2 linked regions of the Lonchura striata genome follow. The protein of the gene in region 2 interacts with the protein of the main gene of each other region in a biochemical or structural test. Links are inferred from orthologs where the notes say so. Each region holds a gene or a part of one and is shown on either strand. Other genes may lie near its edges.

Region 1 (7,314 bases), on a different chromosome or scaffold from region 2:
AAATATTTACAAAAAATGATCACCAATGCAAAGCTGGACTCTTTGAAGGTAGTATTTCTCAACTAAGCTGCCAGATGAATTGTTCGGTGTGACATCTGCAGGTCTAATCAGGGGTAATGGAGAAGAAATAAGGAAAGAAAAAATTTAAGGAAGGCACTAAGAAAATCTTCCTGATCGTAAAGTGCCCTGAAGAACTGCTTCACAGCAAAAGCTGAAAATTTGCTCACTAGGAGGTATGTAACACTAGAACACAGAAAACGGGGGAAAAATCACAAACGAATCCTGCATAGCCCCATAGAAGAGAGGCTGGATGATCTCATATGCTTTCTGTCTCTGATCTCTGATCACCATGTGCCTCTAATTTATCTGTATTCACATCTTGCCTGCCCTTCAAAGAACTATAGCTCACAACCTCTTGCTGCTGACAAGCAGACAACTGCAAACCAGTTTTGAAGAAAAGGATGCCTGGGTTGAATGCCCAGGAGTAGACACTGAAGGAGGTCGGTAAGAGGGAGGGGGAAAATGCTGAGTCTCTAACTCATCAGCTTTAATATCCACAGTAATTTTAGAACCAAAGCAACAGCTCTCTAAGCCAGCACTCAGAATCACTTGCCAGTTCAGAGTGTTTCTGTTAAATCTTGCTTTCCCTCAAAGTAAAATTTTTTGTTGACCTACCTCATCCATCTTTCCTCACCTTTTTTTTCCTGTGGAGCTTTAGCCCTTGGAGGAGTCTGAGAGAATTTGAGAGAAGTATATGTTACTTCCTCGCTCTCATCACCTGCAGAAATTTCTGATCTGCTTGCCTCCATACCAAAGCAAGGAGCATGCACAAAAGGATGTTTCAATCAGGTTGTTAAGCAACAGGGCTCAATGCCTGTGAAACAGGAAGCCTGAGGCTATATTCAGAAGACAAGAAATATAAAGCTGCTACCTCTATCTCCAGCTGTTAAGATAACCAAATTTACAACAATGGAGAGTGGTGGAACTGCAGCAGCTTTCATTTTCTAACCTGATGGAGGATGTCTCAAGAACAGCTACTAATGGAAAAGGTGATTAATGACAAAGTTGAGGGGCACTCTAATTGTTGCTAATGCAAGAGGGTGTGATTACACCGATGCAGCAACTGGGAGGATTCGTGGGCTCTGAGGAGCTCCCTTCAGGGCAGAAACAGTGGGATGGTGACAGCACAAGGTAAAAAAGGTTAATAGTGAGAGTACAAGGTGAAAAATGGGACAAGCAATGGCTATGGCAAACTGGCAGCGCTACTGCTGTCAAACAGGAATAAAGGTGGACAGCACAGGTTTGAAATTGAATCCTTGTGAGCTTTGGACAATTCCACTTCAAACTGGGAACTCTGTCTATACCAAATATCAGTGTGACTGTGCTTGAGCCACAAGGTATGCACTGAGAGCTGGCATTCCTCAAGTACATCCAAGTCAACATCTCAACAGCATCGTACAAGGGAGACAGGGGCATATTGAGGATAATCTACCAAAAGGGCACAAAGAGTTATCCTTTGGGACCACACCTTCTGTCCTGGGAGGAAAGACTGAGAGCCCTGGTACTGCTTGGCCTGGAGAAAAGACTTCTTGGTAAGGATCCAATTAATGTATATAATTACCGGAAGGGAGGGTACAAGAAGAGTCAAACTCTTCAGTGGTGCCCAGTGAGAGGACAAGAGGCCACAGTAACAAACTGAAAGACAGAAGATGTTTCCTCTGAACACAGGTGTTGCCAGGAAACACTTTTTTTTACTCTGAGGGTGGCTGAAAACTGACATAGGTTGGCCAGAGATGTTGTGGTGTGTCCCTCAGTGGTGAGTGGCCTGGACACAGTCCTGGGCTGTAGGTGGACCAGGTTGAAGGTGGGCTGGCTTGAGCAGAGGGTGGGACCAGATGACATTGAAAGGTTCCTTCCCAACTCAACCATTTGGTGATTCTATGGTCAGCAACAATAGGAAAAGCTACTTTTCTTTTGAAGTGTTGACCATTGATGAGAATAATTCAAGTTGTGCTAGGGGAGGTTAAGATTGGATATCGGCAACATTTTCTTCACCGAAAAGGATATCAAGCACTGGGACAGACTGGACAGGGAAGTGGTTGAGTCACCATCCCTGAAAGTATTTTTTTTAAATATGCAGATGTGGAGCTTAGGGACATGGTTTAGTGCTGGGCTTGCCTAATGATCTTCAGGGTCTTTTCCAAACTAAAAGATTCTGTGATTCTGGTGGGGAGTACAGATGTTTCCAGCACCCCAATAAATCTCCTAGCTGCATAGTTGGCTGGTTTTTGTTTTAATCCACATTCTGATCCCTTCCATTTTGTGCTCAGAATGGGAATATTGGTCAGGCTCAGGCTGCACTTCTTCAGCACAGTACACTACAGTTAATTTGCAATATATGTCTGGGCATGCTCAACAAAGGAGTTGGGATCACTGCTACCTCCAACAGGGATGATTGTTCCCCCTTCTGGTGATATGTTCTAAATTCTGGTGACATGTTCTAAATTACTGCATGGGATTTGCCATTGTTACAACGCACATGGTGGGGAAGGGACTGGATATTTCTGCAAACTTCTTCACTTGCCTGTAAGGGTGGCATATTGCACCCACAGGATTCCTTCCAATCCTAGGTAGGGCCTCTGGACAGCAAGATAGGGAGAGTGCTTGAAAGGATGGGGAAGGCATAAGATAGCAGAGCAAGACAAGAGGCAGAATGTCTCTCCTAAATGCTTCCAGTGAATAATAGAGAAGTCTAAAGAGAGCTTTCAAGCTCAGAGAGACAGAAGACACAGCTTAAGTGTCCAAATCCGATTTTATCCCAGCTTTGTGTTTCTTTGGTAGATTCTCTCCAGTATTTCCATGTTCTCTCATACTTTGGAATAAAGGTGCCTCTCCCAGCTCCTGCCAGTTTTGTCACTTTTAAACTGCCCAGGCTGCCTGCTGACCCAGAGTGACTACAAAGACAGCACTATTTGTGAAGAAGTGGAGAAGTGTAAGCTTGTGGGAAAGAATTAAGAGCTGTTTTAATGTTGTTTACCTTTTTTTTCCCCATAATACCAGTAAGACAGGAAGTAGAGGGGGAAGGATCACACTGTAGAAGGTATGAAGGCAACTCTCGGTTATTTATTCACACTTACATTCACATGTAAGTGTGAATAAATAAATCTGACTAATGCAGCTGCGCCATACTGTAAGTATGGAGCCACAGTAGAACTAAACTGATCAGTTTTCCAGGAGCCAGCAGCATTTCTTCCGTAGTTCTTCACTACTGAAGCAGCATACCAGAGGGAGAACCTCCCAAATTTCACTCAGACACATACCTTTTCCAGCATGTTGGTACATTCTTTAACTGCAGCATTTCTTTCTTAACTAGAGGATGCAAAAGTCTCAGAACTCTGGTGAAGAAGATGTGTCCCTTCCAGTAGCAGACTCCTGGAAAGTGGGACGTGCTCTGGGAACACATCATAAGGAGAGAGATGTCCTTTGAACAGGCCAGTCTCACATCTCACATTTATAGCTTTATTAATGACATCCAAGATGCTCAAGCACCCCAACCTTGTGTGCTGGACCTGGAATTCCTCTACAGTGGTAAAATCTGCAGGAGTTGGGGGAGGCACCTTTATTCCAAAGTACAAGAACAAAACATGGAGAATCCACCAGAGACACAAAGTGGGGACAAAATCAGAAGGATCAAGGCCACAAAGCAGTTTGTGAAGTGGTCGAGGCGCCTTGCTCCTGCAACACAGTTCACTCTGGAGGCACCTGGTGGGTATGGCAAAGCTCAACACAGAGGGACTGCTACCGCCTCCGGAGAAGCCGAGAAGCCCTTCATTCCTGCTGATGCGGCCAGCTGCCTGCGGCTCTCCGAACCTGCGCGGGGCACAGGAGAGGGCAGAGCGCCACTTCAGCGAGGGACAGTCACAGAGCCCCTGTGGGCGCTGATCCGCAGCGGGAGCCTCGGCACGGCACGGCACGGCACGGCACGGCAGGCGCGGCTCGCTCCGGCTCCGCGCCGTGAGGGCTCCTCCTCTCTGCCCGCCCTCGTCGCTCATTGGCAGAACGGCGAGCGGGGGCGGAGCCTCCGTGCTGAGGCTCATCGCCTATTGGCTGGCAGAAAGGAAGGGGGCGTGCCCCGGCGCGCCCCGGCCCTGCCCGTCCTTCCCCGCCGCGCATCATTCGCTCCGCAGCGCTGCTGGGCGGGCGCTCCCGGCCGCTCCCGCGCTCCCATTGGAGCCGGGCTCCAGTTCCGCCACGCTCTTCCCGGCTTCCGGCTCGCGGGGCAGCCGAGGGAGCCGGTCGGGACGCGGAGGAGGCCGGTGCCGCCCGTGCCGCCCGTGCCGCCCAGTATGGGATGCGCGTGAGCCGCGGGTCTCTGCTCCCCGCGGGCGGCCGCAGGTGGGTGGGCGGGTGCGGCGCTGGCACAGCGAGGCCGCGGGGCGAAGCCGCGCTCCGTCCCGGGCGGGTCTGGGGCAGGGGCCCCCGGCTGGAGGAGCTCGGCCGGGCCGCTCCCAGCGAGGCGCAGCAAGTTGCCGGGAGAAGCCATGTCTAGGGCTGAGCGCAGGTTCTGCTTTTGGGAGAGAGCAGTCACGAGTGCTCGTGTCACGGGCTTCCTCATTTCGCGACCGCGCACTGGAACCGATTGCCCGTGGAGGCTGTGGAGTCTCCCTCGCTGGAGATACCGCAGAACCGTCTGTAGACAATCCTGTGCCACGCTAGGGTGACCCTGCTTGAGCAGGGAAGTTGGACCAAGTGACCCACTTTGGTCCCTTCCAGCCTTGCCCACTCCGTGGTTTCTGCGGTCTTTTGGTGCCCCGTGGCGAGCAGAGCCGCTCAGCAGCTGTGGACTCCGGGGGCTCTGGGGAAATCATCAGGTTCACTCAAACGGGCTCTGTGTCCAGGTGCTTATTTAATGGAGGGCCTGCCTTCCACCAACGACTGGAGCTTTACCAAAATCTGCCACACAAGAAGCGGGGGGGGGGGAATCTGACTGCCTTGTTTGACTGGTGCCATCATTGAGTGTTTCATTTGTGATTTTAGCATGAACCTGAAAGCCAACTCTTACAGTCTTATAATGTTGTTGTTATTATTATTGCTATTATTAATTCTTACTGTTATTATCTTCCTTACTGCCTTGTTGATTGGATCTTACATAGGATGCCTTGCTTTCCTTCTTCCCTAGTCGAAACTGGGAAGGGAAGGAAAGGAAGGTTCTGTGAAGTTGCAGTTTAGCATTATTAATGTATTTCAGATTTTCAGCTAAAGGAATACTGGGAAGATCATTATAAAGATTAAGGCACTTGAATGAACAGAGTCTGACTAACCACAGTGGCTCTTCCCTGTGAGCTCTTTACACGAGAGCTGTGAAGATGATTGATTAGAGGCCTCATAAATAATTTTCTGCTGACTGGCTTCTCAGAGCAACACCATAACAAACAGTGGACTATGCTTGAAATTTACTCCAGCATTCAGTCTGCTGGACTCTGCTCTGGCAGCCAATTAATGTGCTCAGCAGCAAAACTTTTTGTGGTCTCAAAGCAAATTCAGAAGAGGGCCCCAAATCAGCCCAGTGATTTGACTTTGGCTGCGCAAGAGATTCAGATTTAGTCTCTTGTGAACTGTGAGTTGTTTCAGCTTCTGCTTTTTGCAGTCAGGACTGAGGAAGTGGCTAATCATTGACTCCATGACCCTGAAGTTAGTTTGCAGGGGGCTGAAACTAATCCTTTGTGAAGTTAATCCTCTGTGTTCTCTGTGGCATGTGTCCAGGATGTCACCACCTTGCCATACCTCGGCCTTGCTGCTGGTCTTTGTGGCCCTGGCTGTAGCAGGGGCTGAGCAGTCCGAAGAGAGGAGCTGTGATGTGGTTGGTGATGAGAGCAGTGAATCACAGACAGAGAGAGCCCTGCTGAAGAAACTGGAGCCCCTGAGCCACATGAGGTACAGCACAACACCCTGCAGGCCTCGGGGCTGCGCAGTGGGCCAAGGGGAAGGGAGGATTTGGGTCAGACTGCAGAATGGACTCCCCCTGTTAGTGTGGTCTGGTCTCTGATGGGCTGCCGGGTCTGGAGTGACACTGCTCCGAGTGTTCTTTGTAATCCAATGGGCTGTCTCTTCTGTCCTCTCCCTGCTGCAGGTTTAACGTGACTGTGGAGAAGGGCAAAACAGAAAACTACGTCTACAATTTCAGGGTGTGCAGGGAGGTCAACAGCACCTCGCACGACTTTGGTGGCCTGGTGCAAACAGATAGACAGAATGGAAAGACCACGGTGATAGGAAGAATCAATGAAACCCAGGTCTTCAATGGAAGTACGATTCCACTCAATACTTGGCTTACTCAGGAGCTGCCTTTCGCCTCCTGATCTGGATTTGTAGCCTGTATTGTTTCTCTCCTGGCAGGTGACTGGATCATGCTGATTTATAAAGGAGGTGATTCATATGGCAGGCACTGCAGTGGTGAGAAGAGGCGAGCTGTGATAATGATTTCTTGCAAGCGGGGAGTTACAGCGGTGAGTGACACCTGGGATGAGAGAGCATCGGGGGCTGCCAGACCAATGGTTGGTTGTGAGCAGAGAGGTTTTGAGGGGACAGTGAGCTGGCCTCAAGTGTCTGGTGCCCAGCTGCCCCAACATTGATAAAACTATCTCCTGGTGAAGTACAGTGTGTGTGGGCATGTTTTCACATGACTTCACTTTTCCCAAATTGCAGAGTTCATTCAGCATTATTTCTGAAGAGCGGGAAAAGGAGCAGGAGTGTTTCTACCTCTTTGAAATGGACAGCAGTGTGGCTTGTCCAGCTGAGAATTCCCACCTCAGTGTTGGCTCCATTCTGCTGATCACGTGAGTCATTTGAAGAGCTGTTTGTGCCTGGGTCATAATCTCCAGTACTATTTAGAAATGTAGCAAATGATATAGTAAGACTAAATTACTGCAGTGTACTTTCCCACTGCCACCATTAGATGTTACTATGCCTCTGAGCTTTTTGGACAAAGGCTCTTGCTCAAGGCATGATGCTGGGCTGGTCCATTCTCAGTAAACACTTTCCTTCATAGCTTACGGACAAGTGCACTGAAGCATGAGAGATTTGACTTCCTAAAATTATATGATGGCTCTTTGCCAGAGCTGGGAACTCAGACCAGGAGTCTTGACTCATTTTCTGTTTGGGAGGCACTACTTCACATAATGCTGCTAAAAGATTAATACAACCAGATTGATAAGTTGGAGACCTTTTATGGTCTGGTTTCTGTTTACAGCTGTTCTTGAGTGGTGCTATCTCGGAAGAGATTTTCTATAGGGTTTCCTCAGCTTTGATTTTCCTTTT
Region 2 (7,598 bases):
GTGGTGAGCCGCGTGGCCAGCCTGCCCCTGGTGAGCTGTGCCCGCGGGGCCGTGGCCTCGGCCTACGGCCGCAGCAAGGAGAGGCTCCCCTGCGTGCGCCCCGTGTGCCACGCGGCCGAGAAGGGCGTGAGGACGCTGAGAGCGCTGACAGCGGCGGCAGCCAGCCGGGCCCAGCCCCTCCTCACCCGCCTGGAGCCCCAGAGTGAGTGCAGGGACGGGGGACAGCACCCCACGGGGATGGGGCACCCCAATTCTTGCTCTGCTGAGGAGCCAGGAGAGGGATGATCCGGTTGCACAGTATCACAAATCAGTTTGTGTCAATGAATAAAGGGCTGGAGAAGCTGGAGGGTTGGAGGAGAAACACCCCACAAGTTTTGGGGGAGCCCAAACCCCTGCCCTAGCAGAGCTCCTGCAAGCAGCAGGGTGCTAAACCCACCTATTTTCACACCTCCAGTTTCCACCGCCAACGAATTGGCCTGCAAAGGGCTGGACAAGCTGGAGGAGAAGCTGCCCATCCTGCAGCAGCCCCCCGAGAGGGTAACGCCAGCCGGGGGGGGCACGGGCAGGGCTCCGGCACCGGGCGAGCAGCGGGACCAAGCTGTCCTCGCGCCGTGCCCTGGCAGGTGGTGGCCGGGACGCGGGAGCTGCTGTCGTGCACGGTGAGCAGGGTGCTGGCCAGGACGCGCGTGGCGCTCGGCGCCGTGGCGGGCACCCGCGTGGGGCGGCTGCTGGCCACGGGCGTGGACGCCGTGCTGGGCAAATCCGAGGAGCTGCTGGATCGGTACCTCCCTGCAGCAGATGAGGAGCTGGGTGAGTGCCCACTGACGTTCCCCTCCTCGCACAGCCCCCTGAATATCCTAGGCTAGCCCAGAGGTAAGCAGGCTGTGAGGGGAGGAATATCAGGAGATGGCAAAGATTCCCAAAAGAGGCTCTTACCCCAGATATATTGGTGCAGCTCTCTTTATTCTGTGATGTCCATGTGGAGAGCGGGGAAAAGAGAACAAACAGGAAATGTCAGGGGTCTGTACAGACTTTGGGCAGGGTGGGCTTCCCTGGTTCTCCCATTGGGGCAGGAAGGAGGGTCCAGGGTTATCTGATCAGAGCCACAGGGTCCCGGGGAAGGGGGCACAGAGTGCCAATGAGCTCACTGTGACAGCCCACCATCTCCCAAATCTCGGGGTGCCAAGCCCTTCCTGACACCCTCACCCTGGTGCTCGGTCTTGGCGTTGGCTGTACACGGTGGCCCCGCAGCGGTGCCAGAGCACTGAGGTCACCGTGAGCCCACGCAGGGGACAGGCCCTGCCTGAAGGACGGGGATGGCACTGGGTGAACTCTCACCTGGAAATCCAAAAGCAAATATAGTCCCGTGTGCCCGCCCGGGTATTTATAGCTTGGCACTGGGTAACATCAGGCAGAGCTCAATGTCGCAGCTCAAGTGACCGCAGAGGCCACCTGGTTTAAGGTGGCATCTCCACACGAGCTGGTGGCCAAGCATCCTGTGGGTACCCACGCTGGGCTTCAGTGCCCAGCACAGGATGGCCCAGCCACGCTGCCCTCACCCCGGTCCCACAGCGGCAACGACAGGCACGGAGGTGACCAAGGGCACGGAGATGACCAGGGGCACGGAGATGACCAGGGGCACGAAGGTGACCAAGGGCAAGGAGATGACCACGGACACGAAGGTGACCACGGGCATGGAGATGACCACGGGCACGGAGATGACCACGGGCACGGAGATGACCAGGGGCACGGAGGGCACGGAGGTGACCAGAGGCACGAAGGTGACCAAGGGCAAGGAGATGACCACAGACACGAAGGTGACCACGGGCATGGAGGTGATCACAGGCACGGAGGTGACCACGGGCACGGATATGGCCATGGGCACAGAGGTGGCCACAGGCACAGAGGTGACCAGGGGCACGAAGGTGACCAGGGGCACGAAGGTGGCCACGGGCACGGAGGTGACCAGGGGCATGGAGGTGACCAGGGGCACGGAGGTGGCCACGCAGGAGCGGCACAGGCGGTGGCAGAGCTACTTTGTCCGCGTGGGCTCCCTGTCAGCCCGGCTGCCACACCGGGCCCTGCGGCGCTCGCTGGGGGACCTGCAGCGGGCACGGCTCCGTGCCCAGCGGCTCCTGGCCCAGCTCCACCACGTCATCCGGCTGGTAAGGATGGGGCAGGGACGGTGCCAGCCCCGTGGTGGCCCCAGGCACCCCCAGGGTGTGTCTCCACCTGGCTGAACCTCCCCCCAGATCGAGGAGGGGCAGCAGGGCACGGACGGGCCCTGGCACAGCACCCGGGAGCACCTGCACCACCTGTGGCTGGAGTGGAGCCAGCAGGATGCGGTGCCCATGGAGGACAACGAGGTACGGGGTGGAGGGACCGTGGGGGACAGATGGCTCCAGCTGGGGAGGGTGGGCACAGCAGCCATTGAGTCTCTTGAGGTGGGGACACATGGCAAGGGGACACCTGGGGTGGTGCCACCTGGAACAGGGGTGGAACAGCAGCCACGGAGTCCAGCTGTGGGTCCATCCATGGGGGGGTGGGATCCATCACCCCCAGCCCCCGCTGCCCGCTGCCCACCCCGCAGGTGGAGGCTCGGACTCTGGCCATGCTCCACGGGCTCCTGCACCAGCTCCACTCCGCCTGCTCCCACCTGGCCACCGGTGCCCGGGCATTCCCCAGCAGCGTGCAGGAGACGGCGGGACACATCTGGCACGGCGTGGAGGGTGTCCAGGCTTCCCTGGCCAGCGCCCACTCCTTCCAGGACCTGTCGGGCCTGGTGCTGGCACAGAGCCGGGACGCCGTGACGCGGGCACAGCTGAGCCTGGAGGGGCTGCTGGAGCACGTGGGGCAGCACACGCCCCTGCCCTGGCTCATGGGACCTTTCGCCCCCGCGCTGGTGGAGTACCCGGAGGATGCCCCCGTGGATATGTCCAAGTGGGAGGGCTCTGTCATCGTTGGGGGGACGCACCAGGCGCCCGCTGCCCCCCGGGTCTGCAGCCGGCGCTGAGCCACCGGGGCCACCCACCCGGAGCTGCGACCCCCAGTCCCACCGGGAATGGGGGGATGATGGATGGACGTGGGGACCCGGCGTGGCACCCCAGTGTCACGGCCGGGGACTCCTGTGGGGATGGTGGCACGTGGAGGACGCCGTGTGAGCCTGTGTGGGATCCAGGGCTGCCCTAAGCCCCTGGAATGCTGGAATTTCGTGTCTTAACAGCTTCAAACCAGTTTAAAGAGGAAAAAAACAACTTTTTTGGCCTTAAAATTACTCAGAGCCTGCAGCGCTGTGGCAGAGCCACCCCGGGGGCACCCCCGAGGGGGGCTCAACAAGGGGGTGCCAGTGGCACACAGTGGGACGGGATTCCATGGGGTACTGGGAGAAAGGTGCCACAGGGTGCCAGGACACCTGGACTGTGACCCCCCAGCCGTGTGGCACTGAACTTTGTCCCAGTTGTCACAGCGGAGGGGCTGGGCACGCCCCGGGGTTCCCCCGACGTCACAAAGCGCAGCGTGGTCACAGCTGGGGTGACACCGGGCACCCCAGAACCGCCCGGCCTCCGCCGCCCGAACCCCCCGGGACCGCTTCCACCGCCTCCACCGGGCCAGGTGCGGGGAACACCGGGACCCCCGTGCCTGGGAGGGTCGGGGTGGGGGGATCGGTGCCCGGGAAGGGCGGGGGGTCCTTAGTTCTGGGCTGGGGGGGTCACCGCAGCCGGATCCCGGCGAGTCGCGTCGGTGTAGAGCGGTCCCGGGAGCGTCCGGTGCGCAAGGGGCGTCAGTGCAGCTCGGTACCGGGGGATCCGGTACCGGGGAGCAGGGGGGGTCAGGGCAGCACCGAGCGAGGAACGGGGTCCGGGGAGGCTCAGTGCAGCCCAGTCCCGGGGGATCCGGTACCGGGAGCGGGGGGGGTCAGTGGAGCACCGACCGAGGAACGGGGTCCGGGGAGGCTCAGTGCAGCCCAGTCCCGGGGGATCCGGTACCGGGAGCGGGGGGGGTCAGGGCAGCACCGAGCGAGGAATGGGGTCCCGGGGGATCCGGTACCGGGGAGCGGCGCTCAGTGCAGCACCGACCGAGGAACGGGGTCCCGGTGGATCCGGTACCGGGGAGCGGGTCTCAGTGCAGCACCGACCGAGGAACGGGGTCCGGGGGCTCAGTGCAGCCCAGTCCCGGGGGATCCGGTACCGGGAGCGGGGGGGTCAGTGGAGCACCGACCGAGGAACGGGGTCCGGGGAGGCTCAGTGCAGCCCAGTCCCGGGGGATCCGGTACCGGGAGCGGGGGGGGTCAGTGGAGCACCGACCGAGGAACGGGCTCCGGGGGCTCAGTGCAGCCCAGTCCCGGGGGATCCGGTACCGGGAGCGGGGGGGTCAGTGGAGCACCGACCGAGGAACGGGGTCCGGGGTCTCAGTGCAGCCCAGTCCCGGCGGATCCGGTGCCGGGCGGGGGTCTCGGTGCAGGCCGTTCCCGGGGGTTCGCTGCCTCCCGGCCCCGCGCTCCCCGCCGGTCGCTGCTCCCGGGGCGCCCCGGGCCGGCCCCGCTGGGCGGCTCCGGTCACATGCGCTCGGGGCGGGCTCCGGGGTATAAAGGGCGGCGGGGAGGAGCGGGGCGAGCCCGGAGCCGAACCGAGCGGAGCAGAGCCGACCCCAGCCGCCAGCGGTGAGCACGATCCGGGGCCGGTCCGCGATCCCGGTTCCGATCCCGATTGGATCCCGGTTCCGATCGCGATCCCGGTCCTGTTCTCGATGGCGGTCCCGGTCCCGGTTCTCGCTCGCAATCCTACTCCCGATAGCGATCCCGGTCCCGGTCCCGATCCCGCCTGTGATCCCGATCGCGATCCCGGTCCCGCCTGTGATCCCGTCCCGGTCCCGCCTGTGATCCCGATCCCGGTCCCGGTCCCGCCTGTGATCCCGGTCCCGGTCCCGCCTGTGATCCTGGTCCCGGTCCCGGTCCCGCCTGTGATCCCGGTCCCGGTCCCGCCTGTGATCCCAATCCCGGTCCCGGTCCCGCCTGTGATCCCGGTCCCGGTCCCGCCTATGATCCTGGTCCCGGTCCCGGTCCCGCCTGTGATCCTGATCCCGATCCCGGTCCCGGTCCCGCCTGTGATCCCAATCCCGGTCCCGATCCCGCCTGTGATCCCGGTCCCGGTCCCGCCTATGATCCTGGTCCCGGTCCCGGTCCCGCCTGTGATCCTGATCCCAATCCCGGTCCCGATCCCGCCTGTGATCCCAATCCCGGTCCCGATCCCGCCTGTGATCCCAATCCCGGTCCCGGTCCCGCCTATGATCCCAATCCCGGTCCCGGTCCCGCCTGTGATCCCGATCCTGGTCCCGGTCCCGGTCCCGCCTGTTATCCCAATCCCGGTCCCGGTCCCGCCTGTTATCCCAATCCCGGGCCCGGGCCCCCCTGTCCCGGGTTTTTCCAGCCGCGTGGGAGCTGCCCCGTTCCGGGAGGGGTAACCCGGGGTCCTCCCTCCGGGAGGCGAGGGGGGTGCTGGGGGGGCCTGGCCCCACTCACGGTCCCGACCTGTGCCCCCAGCCCCACCATGGCCTCCAGCAAGCCCACGCCAGAGCAGCCCAAGGCGGAGGAGCAGCAGGTCAGTGCGGGGAATGTGGGGGCGATCCACGGGGTCCCAGCTTGCAGACGGGGTTATCCCACCCTGCAATGGGCTTGGAGAGCCACGGGAGCACCCCAAAACCATCCCCGGCGTGTTGGGGGCGCACAACACGCTCCGTTCCCGGTGAGGTTTGGGAGTCCCTCAGTGCCACGCTCACCCTGAGCCCTTCTGGCCCGCAGAACATCGGGACACGCGTGGCCAACCTGCCCCTGGTGAGCTCTGCTTACGACATGGTGTCCTCCGCCTACTCGTGCACCAAGGAGAGCCACCCCTACGTGCGCTCCGTCTGCGATGCGGCCGAGAAGGGCGTGAGGACGCTGACAGCGGCAGCGGTGAGCGGGGCCCAGCCCCTCCTCACCCGGCTGGAGCCCCAGAGTGAGTGCAGGGATGGGGGACAGCACCCCACGGGGCTGGGGCACCCCAAACCCGGCTCTCACCGAGCTCTCGTGAGGAGCCCGGGGAGGGACGGTCTGGTTTTTTGTCTCTGGTTTGTATGGCTGAGGAATAAATGGCTGGAGAAGCTGAAAGATGTAGGGGTAGCACCCCCTGAATTTTGGGGTGATGGGAAATCGGCCCTCGAAGAGCTCCTGCAAGGCAGCAGGGTGCTAAACCCACCTATTTTCACATCTCCAGTTTCCACCGCCAACGAATTGGCCTGCAAAGGGCTGGACAAGCTGGAGGAGAAGCTGCCCATCCTGCAGCAGCCCCCCCAGAAGGTACCGGGGTGGGCTGGGTGGGGTGGGCAGAACATTCAGAGCTTCCCCAGTGCTTAACAGAGTTTGTGTGTCCACCAGATCATCTCGGACACCAAACTGCTGGTGACCTCCACGGTGACAGGGGCCAGGGATGTGCTGACCAGCACCGTGGCCGGGGCCAAAGATGCAGTGTCCAGCAAGGTGGCCGGGGCCAAAGATGCAGTGTCCAGCACTGTGGCTGGAGCCAAGGATGCAGTGTCCAGCACTGTGGCCGGAGCCAAGGATGCAGTGTCCAGCAAGGTGGCTGGGGCCAAGGATGCAGTGTCCAGCACCGTGGCTGGGGCCAAGGATGCAGTGTCCAGCACCGTGGCTGGGGCCAAGGATGCAGTGTCCAGCAAGGTGGCCGGGGCCAAGGATGCAGTGTCCAGCACCGTGGCTGGGGCCAAGGATGCAGTGTCCAGCACTGTGGCTGGAGCCAAAGATGCAGTGTCCAGCACTGTGGCCGGGGCCAAAGATGCAGTGTCCAGCACTGTGGCCGGAGCCAAGGATGCAGTGTCCAGCACTGTGGCCGGAGCCAAGGACGCCGTGAGCAGCCGAGTGACCGGTGTGATGGACATGACCAGAGGGGCAGTGCAGGGTGGTGTGGAGCTGACCAGGTCTGCGGTCAGCAGCGGCGTTAGCACCGTGGGCCAGATGGTGACCAGCGGGGTGGGCTCCGTGCTGGGCAAGTCCGAGGAGCTGGTGGATCATTACCTGCCCATGACGGATGAGGAACTGGGTGAGCAGCTGGTCCCAACCCTCCAGAGAGGGTGGGCAGAGCAGGAGGGGCTCTGTGGGGTGGTGATGGTGATGCTGGGACCCCCTGAGCAGCTCCTGTCCCACAGCCAAGCTGGCCACGGCCGTGGAGGGCTTCGAGCCGGAGCAGCAGAGGCAGCAGCAGAGCTACTTCGTGCGCCTGGGCTCCCTCTCCACCAAGGTGCAGCACCGAGCGCTCCAGCACTCCCTGGCCAAACTGCAGAGCGCCCGCCAGAGCAGCCAGGACCTGCTGGCCCAGCTCCAGCGCACCCTCGACCTGGTAGGACCCAGCCCCGCACCCCCTGTGCCACCCTGAGGTGTGGCCCCGGTGCCTCCTCCACCCAGGCGGGCTGTGCCCCTCTCCCAGGTGGAGCAACTGAGGCAGGGCGTGGATCAGAGGCTGCAGGGCGGGCAGGAGAAGTTGCAGCAGCTGTGGCTGGAGTGGAGCAAGAAGCAGCCGGGAGATGGCAAGGACCAGGTGCCACCGGAG

The links.
Region 1: the proteins of perilipin-3 (region 2) and M6PR form a complex in vitro, tested with the Homo sapiens proteins (2 studies listed by BioGRID). The link is inferred for Lonchura striata from reciprocal best matches to the Homo sapiens genes PLIN3 and M6PR.

The regions. Positions count from the first base shown.
Region 1 is NC_134604.1:31,647,805-31,655,118, reverse strand, and holds the start of M6PR (cation-dependent mannose-6-phosphate receptor), read left to right. Parts: upstream 1-4,251; 5' UTR 4,252-4,351; coding exon 4,352-4,395; intron 4,396-5,763; coding exon 5,764-5,934; intron 5,935-6,130; coding exon 6,131-6,303; intron 6,304-6,393; coding exon 6,394-6,503; intron 6,504-6,702; coding exon 6,703-6,833; intron 6,834-7,314. Other genes in the region: KLRG1 (killer cell lectin-like receptor subfamily G member 1), read right to left, coding at 695-809. UniProt on the Homo sapiens protein: Transport of phosphorylated lysosomal enzymes from the Golgi complex and the cell surface to lysosomes.
Region 2 is NC_134630.1:5,987,958-5,995,555, forward strand, and holds the start of perilipin-3, read left to right. Parts: upstream 1-4,523; 5' UTR 4,524-4,559; coding exon 4,560-4,660; intron 4,661-5,539; coding exon 5,540-5,597; intron 5,598-5,797; coding exon 5,798-5,993; intron 5,994-6,251; coding exon 6,252-6,334; intron 6,335-6,412; coding exon 6,413-7,091; intron 7,092-7,197; coding exon 7,198-7,388; intron 7,389-7,475; coding exon 7,476-7,598. Other genes in the region: perilipin-3, read left to right, coding at 1-202, 455-537, 624-810, 1,573-1,592, 1,836-1,907, 1,944-2,165, 2,253-2,366, 2,591-3,013. UniProt on the Homo sapiens protein: Structural component of lipid droplets, which is required for the formation and maintenance of lipid storage droplets. Required for the transport of mannose 6-phosphate receptors (MPR) from endosomes to the trans-Golgi network.